3 linked regions of the Arabidopsis thaliana genome follow. The protein of the gene in region 1 interacts with the protein of each later gene in a pairwise test. Each region holds a gene or a part of one and is shown in the gene's direction. Other genes may lie near its edges.

Region 1 (3,663 bases):
ATCACCAATAAGAACAATGAAGCTCAACAGAACCAAAACCCAAAACATAGCTTTGGCTTAATCAGTTCCTGAAACACCAAGTTTGATAAACAAACAACAATTAGATAAAATTCCCAAAAACTTTAAGAATCACAAAATGAGAGATTGTGAGCCACTTCACCAAATCAAAATGGGATTTTTTTAAAAAGAGTAACATAGGAAGAGAAAGCTAGAAACTTCTAATGAAACAAAAAGAATAAGGAAGATAAGCAAAGAAAGTGACTTTAACCAGAACTGAAAAAGTGTCACGAGGATTAAACCCTTACCTCAAACATAGAGAACAAGGATTGTCAAGAAATGAGTGGCAGAGATGCCAAAACCCAAACCCAAACCAAAATCATCCTTTAAAGAAAAGCAGATTCGTCAGGCACATGAAAAATCTAGCTGAAAGAAAGCATGAGGAACAAGCAAGAGGAGTACACATATAAAAACCTGAAAAAAGGAAGGAGTAGGTCTTCAATAAACAAAAAGGAGGTAAACTGACAAAAGTAAAATCATGGGTTTGCTTGAAGATTTAGGAAAGTGGTAAGCTTTTTGGTGGGATTTGATTACTTCCAATCAGAATTCATGCACTAGTCACATTTACAGGCTAAGAAAAAAAGAGTTAGAGAAGGAAATTGGATAGACTAACCATAATTGTCGACATAGATAATGAGCCATTATCGATTGAAAAATGTGAACTTCTTAACTTGTAAGTTTTGTTTCCAGTGAAAAATGAAAACTTTTTGTTTTGTTTGCAAGTGACGAAGTGACCCTTTTGGTTCCCAGCCAAAGTAAAGAAGATGATGATGAGAAACATATTATTCCTTACTATAATCTATAATGGTAGTCTATAATCTTTTATTGGCTAGTGAAATCATTAACCCAAAAAAAGAGATAATTAACCAAATCATCTTTGGGACCATTAATCGTTTGCGTCATGGAGTTGTATGATTATACTTTTGATTATTGAATCAGTATTTTATAATTATATATTATACTTGTATTTGGATTCCGTTATACCTTGATCCAATGACTGTTTTAAATTTATTTTATTGTTTCATTTTCTTTTTTGAAAAGTAATAGTATTATATTTTGTGGTCTTTCATGCGACAATGAGAAAGTCTGGATATTTCGAATATTATTTGGTTCAGGTATTTAAAACATCTTCCCATGTTCCACATATGACATAACTCCAAAAATGAATGTATGTTGTTGGACCATTCTTTTATTTGTAACCTTTTTTTACCCCAAACCAATAAAAATTACAGATGCTTATGGCATTTTCTGATTTTGTTGTCCTATATAGGCAACCTTAAACCTTCTTACCAAAAAAGAGAGACAAGTTTACTTATACCAAAAACAATTCTTGTTATTATTTAAATGTTTCAGGAAGATAAGAAAACGCACGATAAAGAAAATCTAACGGATATAGAAACAAAAATAATAATCTAGGAAACAAATCGTAATCAAATGTCCAATTTCAATAGTGTGAATCATGGGATGGGAGAGTGGCGATTTTATTTCTGTGGAAGTGTGGAACCTCCACCGAAATTGAGTAATGGAAGCTCAAACTCCACTAAAATCTTTACTTTTTCCAAATCTTCCAATTGGCTTTGGAATTTTGTTGGCTTTGGAATTTTGTTGCTTCAATATTCTTGCATAGGCTTAGAATTTAATAATAGACGCAAGATTTATAAGGCCTATCAGAAATAATGGACTCTAGTATTATAAGGCCCATAAGAAATAATGAACTCTAGTATTATAAGGCCCATCAAAGATAAACTTGGGCCAACAAATAATAAGCAGCAAAACTGATACATAAAAAACGTGGTGGTTTCAAACTGCAAAGAGATAAGTCTCTTCCTTACATAGTAAACCGCTCTGTTCCTCAACTGAAGTTAACTGTCTCCCTGTTCCTCCATAACTTCTTTCCCACGTAACCTCTCCTTCTTCTTCTACTTAAGCAACCCTTTCTCTAACTTCTACTCTTTTTTTTCCCACTTTTCTTCCATCACTTCCTCTACGTGCTCACAATGAACAACAATCATTCCTATGATGATCGCAGTTTTCACATTCCACTTCATCCTTCTAACACAAGCAACCCTAATCCAAATCTCCAGTTTGCTTTATCTTCAAGCTACGATCACAGTCCTAAGAAGAAACGCACCAAAACCGTTGCTTCATCCTCTAGTTCTTCACCAAAATCCGCGTCAAAACCAAAATACACCAAAAAACCAGACCCAAATGCCCCCAAAATCACACGTCCATGTACTGAATGTGGCAGAAAGTTTTGGTCTTGGAAGGCTCTCTTTGGTCACATGAGATGTCACCCTGAGCGTCAATGGCGTGGCATTAATCCTCCTCCTAACTACCGTGTGCCCACCGCGGCTTCTTCAAAACAGTTAAACCAGATATTACCAAATTGGGTCTCATTTATGTCCGAGGAAGACCATGAAGTCGCTTCTTGTCTCTTAATGCTGTCTAATGGTACACCATCATCATCGAGTATTGAACGGTTCGAGTGTGGAGGATGTAAGAAAGTGTTTGGATCACATCAGGCTTTAGGAGGACACAGAGCGAGTCATAAAAACGTTAAAGGCTGTTTCGCTATCACAAACGTAACCGATGATCCTATGACGGTTTCTACTTCTAGTGGGCATGATCATCAGGGAAAAATCCTTACGTTTTCAGGGCATCATAAGTGTAATATCTGTTTTAGAGTGTTCTCGAGTGGTCAAGCTTTAGGAGGTCACATGAGATGTCATTGGGAAAAGGAGGAGGAGCCGATGATCAGTGGTGCTTTGGATTTGAATGTTCCTCCAACAATACAGGATCTTTCTACTTCGGACACATCAGGGTGTTGTTTAGATCTTAGGTTAGGACTCTAATTAGTATCTATATATATATATAATGTCTGTAGGTATATTGGATGTTTCCTTCTAATTAATAGGTCAATGTACATGTTGTGATTTGATGATAAGTATAACGTATGTAGGATATTCTGCTATATATATGCTTAATAAAGAAAAATATTTAGTTTTGTGCTTTCGAAATGCACTGATTTTCTGGTATATTAATTAATTTTGAATCAGATCAGAAAAGAAAAGAAAAAAACACTTGAATCAAGAAAGAAAACAAAACTTGTGTTGTACCAAAATGTAAAAGAAAGTTTCAAACGTATATCCAACCAAATACTAGAGAACAGAATTGATCTCTTAAAACATGAAATTCATAAGCAGATATTGAGCCGTTTTGTAAAATTTAAGCCAACTAAGAAAAGGGAAAACATTTTAATTTCACGGAAGCTTAATTAGTATTATTCTTGCCAAATTTCGTTGTTTGACTTGATCTCAAACTCACCACGATCTCCAAGACTCCAACCATTCTATTTTTAATTATTTTCTTAAAACTCTTACCATTCTATCGTATATAGATTAGATCTTATTCCGCTAGAGAATCTTAGTGTTACTTATATCTAAGATAACCTTGTTTTCACCAGCTAGCTTTAACATAAACAATGCTTAAATAAAGATTGAATCTTAAAGAAAATTATTAGTCTAAAGATTCAGATGCATTATAGGTAAACACGCGGAACTAATTACAACATGCACGAACCCTAATCCGAGACAGTTTTCAATTAAT
Region 2 (3,759 bases), on another chromosome or scaffold:
TGCGGTAAAGAATGGTAAAATTGTAGCGAGGTGATAATAGAAAGTTGTTAAGAAACATCTCAAATTACAGCATCTTGGCCGATAATAAAACTAATATACTATGTTTGATCATCATATGATTTATTTTTCGTTCTAGCCTGCTTCTTTGATTCGTAGCCAAACAAGCTGGAGCACTCCCAAAGTCCCGAGTCTTAACGTTTTATGGCCCATTAACGATCTAAAGCCCAACATAAAGAACCTATTTCTATCCTTTGAGAAGTTTTCTCTGTCCGACGATTCATAGCCAATTAACGCTAAGATTACTATTTGATTTAATCTAAAATATCTTTAGCGAAAAGAAAGTTATTTACCAAAATCTAAAAATTTATATGTAATTATCGAAATCTTTTTAAAAAATTTGATATGTAATTATCGAAATCTTCTTATAAGAACAATATACCAACTCTTTTCTTTAATAACCCTAACAAAAAAAAGATACATAAATCTGGTGCATATACACATCTCTCTATCCGTCTCTCTCTGGGTTTCAATGGATTATGAAAACGGAGAAATAATAGCTCCTAAATCCACCACTTTATGGGATAGACTTACACCACGACAAAAAAAGTATGTGTTCACGTGTGTCTTGGTTTTTTTGATCGCTATCGCAACCGCTGCAATTATCGTTTATGCCTACTCTGAATCAGCACAAGAACGACGTGAAAAACGGCGTAAAGAACAACGTATAGAAAACTATGCACCGGATATTATAATACCATCTATGGATTTCACAGTCCTTAATTTAACCGAGACTAGTCTTAGTGTTAAATGGGATTTAGTGATCAGGCTTCCTTCAGATCTTCCTGGTTACTATATGTGTCTCAAAGGAGATTTGCAGACTTTCATACTTTACAAAGGTGTTACCATTGCTAATTCATCCTTAGACAGGTTACACTTTTTAAAAATTTCAATACTCTTTTTTTTTTTTTTTCTTTAACTAATTTCGTTTGTTCATATATTTTTGTTTGAACTTTTTTGTGTTATGCTCTATCAGTTACAATCTGATACCAAATTGGCCTCAGCTGCTTAATACCTCATCGGTAATTGCTTCTGAGGGAGATATGGACAGTGTTGTTGTGAAAGACATTATGGACGATATAAAGGAAAGAAGAGACATGCGGTTCGGATCGAGGTTGCTTCTTCCGGATTGTAGATCTGGGAGGAAGATGAACTATACGTGTGATGAAACTGCGGTTCGGTTTGAGCCTGGCTCTCAAAGGAAGGCAACTGCGTTTGAAAACGCCGCTCCTATATGCCACTATATTCACACTTAAGTAAAATTTTCATCAATAATGATTTTTATGTTTTAGTTTGCATATGTTGGATCTTCTTCTTTTGCCTTTTGATATCGTAGGAAAGAACTTAAACAACACAATGCGCTTTTGTTTTTTTTTCCTTTGGCTTCAATGGAATATACTTTGTTCTAATGTATTATTATTTTCGTTAATAATTATACTCTCATAGTAAGATACTATTTTTTAAAAAGATTCTATTTAAACATATGGTACTACATCAATATCATAAGTTAATCATTACATCAACTTAAAAAATTTATTTAGTTAGTCTGTTTAACGTACCGAACCGATAATTAAATTTCGAAATCAAATCTACCGATTGGTTTGTATCTAATAACCAAACTAGAACCGATTTGCACAAACTTCGGTTTGGACTTATCAATTTTGTTTTTAATCTGAAGGCCTACTTTTTTCTTTCTATAAATATTGGATAAGACTCATAAAAGTAGTATTTGGTATATTAAGAAAAAGAGTAAAAAATCCATATAAAGGAGAGAAAATCGAATCGTTATGTTAACAAAAAGATTATGTTTAACGTACGTGATATTAAGTATCTTTATATGACTCATGTAGTTATTTATAAACCTAAAACCTTACGACTTTCTTTGTGTCAATTGTCAAGTCTTTTGTATCTTCCTGTAAGCCTGTTACGTGTGAGGTAACGTGTCCATCAATACTTGTGTCCTAGCGAACTTTGATCGATCCTCTTCACTTTGATCCTATCTTGTTTCTATACTGAAATTCTTAGATCAAAATATAGTGTGACATAATCTGAGGAGTAAGTTAGATTCAAATCTTCTGGTCGATAGCTGTAAATTCCCTTGCAATGTTTTCTATGACTCTAATTGCTAGATCTGCGCTGGTTGTATGAATTTTTGGGATAATTTCGATTATTTTTCTTTGAACTTATATATCTTGAATTCGTTTATTGAGATTTAAGACTTGTATTGATTTTCAAAGTTGTTTATATTGGGAGTCGAACATTAATCTATTTTCTCTTCCTCTGGATAATGAAGCACTTGCCAGTTGTCAGTTTCAAAACCATGGTTGCAAATAAGAAGCTAACTACAACCGATGCACTTGATTTCCTCCATCTTGTAAAAACTAAATATCAAGATAATCGTGAAATATATGATAGTTTTCTTACGATCATGAAGGATTTCAGAGGTCAGAGGTATTTTTTTTCTTCTTCTTCCCTCATAATAGTTTCAGCTCTTAGTTATATAAAGTTTTGGTAAACTGTTTTTTTTTTTTTTTACTAATTGTAGAGCTAAAACATGTGACGTCATATCAAAAGTGAAAGAACTCTTCAAAGGGCAACCAGAGCTTCTCTTAGGTTTCAACACATTCTTGCCAACGGGGTTTGAAATAACACTCAGTGATGACGAACTTACGTCAAATTCGAAGTTTGCTCACTTTGACGAAGCATATGAATTTGTCAACAAGGTCAAGGTAGTTGGGCAAAATCATACTAGTAATTAGAGTTTGATTATGATTATTTTGATCCAAAAGATCTAAAATCTAAATAAAAAACAGGTTTAGTCATTTAAATTTAGAGAGATGAATAAACTTGTTTAGATTTTAGTGTTAAAATTTAGGATATCAGATTTATCGTTTTAATTAAGGGTTAGTTTCGGTGTAAATATTTCGGTTTATATCATTTGTATTCTCTATTGCTGTTTATTTTGCAGCCCTACTAGAAATTATATTACTCTTTTCTGTACAATTTTTTTTTTTACTTTTCTCTTAAATATCATTTTTTCTGTAGACAAGATTTCAGAACAATGATGTATTCAACTCATTTTTAGAGGTTTTGAAAACGCATAAAAAGGAAAACAAGAGCGTTGCTGAGCTCTACCAGGAGGTGTATATATATATATGTTTCACTACCTTTTCTTTTTCCATCTTTCTTGTATTGGATTTAATGTAATGTATTATTTTGTAGGTGGCTATCCTTTTTCAAGGCCATCGAGACTTGCTTGAGGAATTTCATCTCTTTCTTCCACATTATGGATGAAGAATGATGAATTATGTATACAATGAAGCCATGCAAGTTGTGGTTCAAAGCCACTTTATCTGCTTCCATTTGACTCAATGGGGATTATCATTAGTTTGTTGCTGAACTGGTAAAACTAGTACTCAATTTTTCAAGTTGTTTTATACTATTTAAACTGAATATTATGGATAATACACAAATTATTTATCAATTTACTTAAGACAATATAATTATGCTTAGTGAGAATGTACCAAACCTTTTTTTTTGGGTTAAAGGTTGCTGCACTAATTAAAAGAACAAACGGCGAATTACAAATTCTCAAATAAACGACAACAAACCCGACACGGTACAAGAAGATAATTTGAACCAAACCATACAAACAAAAGAATATTGCCTAGGTGTTGAGGTGGCTCAACTGTGGAAGCCAAA
Region 3 (3,499 bases), on another chromosome or scaffold:
CACCCTCAAAGAAAAGATGATAGCTTTGGTAACGGCTTGGATACTCATCACTCAGATGACGAACCTAAGCTTTCTGTAGAATGCGTATAGTATAGAGGTATAGTTAGATAGAATCAGATATTGTATTTCATAATGATATGAAAGAGAACAATAAAAACATTTTGTAGCGTTCATGTTACAGTAGAAGAGGAAGAAGAGACCAGAAGTGGAGCGAAGTTTCACTTTCTGGCTTTTGTTTTCACAATGATTTCGAGTCTTAATTCAGATACAAACTCATTATGAATTCTATATACAAGGGAGATATAAGTATTAAAATGTGATCTTGTTGGTGGCAAGAGCCATGAGATTAAATGGTCTGATATGGTTTTTGTTTCCATTCCATAAAGCTTTTGACATGAGACGGTAAGTGTGTTCTGTGGGATGATAAAAATCCCAAAACAGAAACTCATTTGGGTTATTGCAAATCTTGTATCCTTCTCTTCCACACTGCATCAATCCTCCCAGTGTACCGTTCCCACAACACGCGTTTGAAACATCCGAAAACCCTTCACCAAAAACATGATTCAGCTTTCTCATAGACACATTTGAAAAAGATCTCAAAGATGGAAGTTAATTAACTATATTGAGTTTACCGTAACGGGCAGGGTAGGTTTGAAATCTGTGAGTGATACCATATACAGCTCCAAACACCGCAATGGCTCCAGGGTACTTAGTGGGGATTATGTTCACTATATCTTCAAGTCTTTTATTATACATCTTGGCCATAACATTCATCTTACCAAAGCATTTATTGGTTGGGGCATTAGGAAGCATGGCTCTTGCAGGGACACAACCTACAGGACCTAAGGAGAAGAAAGCGATGCGGCGTGCGCCTAGTTTGTAGATCTGATCAATCGTTTTGTTCACTTGGTCTAACATTGCGTTCACATAAGCGTCTGGAGAAAGTGTAGGAGCTCGGAATGGGAGGAAGTAGTTGAAGATGTCGTTAGAACCAGTTTCTAATAAGAAGAGAGACTCTTGGATTATAGATTTTTCGATAAGGTTTTGCTCTACAAGTGTCTGGAATTGCTGTAGCTGGGTTTGGATCGGTGTCACGCCCTACATTTGATATGTGTACTTAATGAGTGATTCACAAGAAACAAACATTTTATTTGGTCAAGGTAGATATTTACCATAAATTTGTTGGTATCAAGCAAGAGACCACTACCAGCACTAGCAAAGTTAATGCCATTTGAAAAGTTTGAAGTTCCATTCAAGATTTGAATCTGCAATTCCAAGAATGGTTTCTGTAATGGAAGGCCTACAAATTCCGCTGCAATTATTGCGTCAAGAAAAGAAAAAAGAGACAAAAGTAAGGTTCCTTGCAGAAGAAGAAATGTTTTAGTTAACGAGTTGGGAGGTAATTTGTTACAGATGAAGTCAGCGACGGTTCTTCCGTTGGTGAACCTCCCAGTAGGACGGTGGAAAAAGGAAGAACCATAAGGAGGAAAATCAGCCTGAGCGGTACAGTTTTTGTTGTAATGGTTGTTTCCGGCGTCAAAAATAGAGTCACCGAAGGTAAAGATAGCAGGGACGGTGGAAGAAGACTTGGCCAGAACAACCGGAGAGATTAGAAGAAGCAGACACATGAGTAAGTCCATTGAAGAAGAAGAAGACATGGGACAAATGAGTTTATAATCATATAAAAGGAGATTATATACTGACACACATATATATATATATATATATATATATATATATATACAAAATTGACACGGAAGGCAAGAACATTGTTCATGTTTTTGCACTTACTCTTATGTGTGATTAAAGTTTCAAACTTATTCCTAAATTTCTGCTTCTTATTACATAGATGAAGGAAAAAAGAGTAAAGCGTTTTTTCCTTTAGAAGATGGGCTTCAAGCCATGTTGAGAAATTTCATGGATTTTACTGCATTTTCAGCTCTGAGGCCCATACGGCCCACATAGGATTGGTTAGAAAAAAATAGAGAAGTAAATAAGTAAAGATGAAAAGCATCAGAAAAAGAGATTCTGAAAGAATAAAAACATATTCTTTCTCTCAAATGCTTTCCTTTTAATGGAGACGAAGACGGAACCCTAATTTCCGCAAATTCACTATGAAGCGTATTATCAGAATCTCATTCACCGACGCAGAAGCCACCGATTCTTCTAGCGACGAAGACACGGAGGAGCGTGGAGGAGCATCCCAGACTCGGCGCCGTGGGAAACGCCTCGTTAAAGAGATCGTAATCGATCCTTCCGATTCCGCCGATAAACTCGATGTCTGCAAAACACGGTTCAAAATCAGGATCCCGGCGGAATTTCTCAAGACGGCGAAAACGGAGAAGAAATATCGTGGAGTGAGGCAGAGGCCGTGGGGGAAGTGGGTGGCGGAGATCAGATGTGGAAGAGGAGCTTGTAAAGGACGACGTGATCGTCTCTGGCTGGGTACTTTTAACACTGCTGAGGAAGCTGCTCTAGCTTATGATAACGCTTCAATTAAGCTGATTGGACCTCACGCGCCGACCAATTTTGGTTTGCCGGCGGAGAATCAAGAGGATAAGACGGTGATTGGAGCTTCTGAGGTTGCTAGAGGCGCGTGAAGTGGGGTTGGTAATTTAGTTGTTAGCATTAGCAAGAAGGTCTCTCTCGTATTTTGTAAATTCATCTTCTGATGTTGTGTATGATCTTGATGTCTTTCGTCTATGTATATATATGAAACTCGAGAAATGAACTATATTTTGATTTACACACAAATTTTAAGGTACAAATTTTTTTGAATTTTTAAAACGTTTAGGAAAGAAAAGTTTGGGTTGAAATAGGCTCTTTTTATTTGTATACTATTCAATCTTTTTACCATTTATGGATCAACACATAATAGAACAGAACTCTAACCAAATTGAACGTTAATGACTTGGATCAGAGTTATATTTTGATGGTTGATGAAAAGTTGAAAATTCTTTATATATCTTTCCATCTTTTGGTTCTTGTATCACCGTATCAACGATACATTTTTATACTTTGGGGTGTCTAATGAAAAATACTGAATTTATCAATTTACTTTGACTTGTTGAAGACTGATGGCCATGGGTGAGGGGTTTGGAGATAAAGAAAGTAATAAAGAACATGAAGAGATCAGCTAAACCAAGAGACTTCATCATACACATGATATATATGATCTTCTATAATACTATAATAGTAATGACTAAAGAGGAAATGAATGTTTTCGATAATAGTAGTGACTAAAGAGGAAATGAATGTTTTGACAAGAAAAAAAAGAAAAAGAGAGGAAATGAATGTTTACATGTACGTGCACATGAGTTTAAAAATAATAAGTTTGAGGAAACACAAGTGCGTTAGAAAAAAAGCAAACAGATATTTTCTTTTGACTTACGATTATGAAATTGAAAAAAAAAAGGATCTGAAGATAAATTTTGATTGGTTCACAAACTTCACATGATAAACAAGAAGATTTTTCTTTTTTGAACAAATCTTTTGATAC

What was found.
Region 2: the proteins of DAZ2 (region 1) and AT1G70030 interact in a two-hybrid assay, tested with the Arabidopsis thaliana proteins (one large-scale study listed by BioGRID).
Region 3: the proteins of DAZ2 (region 1) and CRF8 interact in a two-hybrid assay, tested with the Arabidopsis thaliana proteins (one large-scale study listed by BioGRID).

The regions. Positions count from the first base shown.
Region 1 is NC_003075.7:16,786,675-16,790,337, reverse strand, and holds DAZ2 (C2H2-like zinc finger protein), read left to right. Parts: upstream 1-2,054; coding exon 2,055-2,909; 3' UTR 2,910-3,058; downstream 3,059-3,663. Other genes in the region: GLUR2 (glutamate receptor 2), read right to left, coding at 1-48. UniProt on the Arabidopsis thaliana protein: Mediates the regulation of male germ cell division by DUO1.
Region 2 is NC_003070.9:26,376,841-26,380,599, forward strand, and holds AT1G70030 (Paired amphipathic helix (PAH2) superfamily protein), read left to right. Parts: upstream 1-1,800; 5' UTR 1,801-1,992; intron 1,993-2,015; exon of another isoform or gene 2,016-2,344; coding exon of another isoform or gene 2,345-2,377; coding exon 2,378-2,508; intron 2,509-2,602; coding exon 2,603-2,786; coding exon of another isoform or gene 2,787-2,816; exon of another isoform or gene 2,817-2,824; intron 2,825-3,102; coding exon 3,103-3,198; intron 3,199-3,279; coding exon 3,280-3,351; 3' UTR 3,352-3,539; downstream 3,540-3,759. Other genes in the region: AT1G70020 (transmembrane protein, putative (DUF1163)), read left to right, coding at 530-927, 1,034-1,313.
Region 3 is NC_003070.9:26,820,763-26,824,261, forward strand, and holds CRF8 (Integrase-type DNA-binding superfamily protein), read left to right. Parts: upstream 1-1,754; 5' UTR 1,755-2,114; coding exon 2,115-2,600; 3' UTR 2,601-2,909; downstream 2,910-3,499. Other genes in the region: AT1G71110 (uncharacterized protein), read left to right, coding at 1-90; GLIP6 (GDSL-motif lipase/hydrolase 6), read right to left, coding at 310-545, 633-1,098, 1,173-1,312, 1,412-1,658.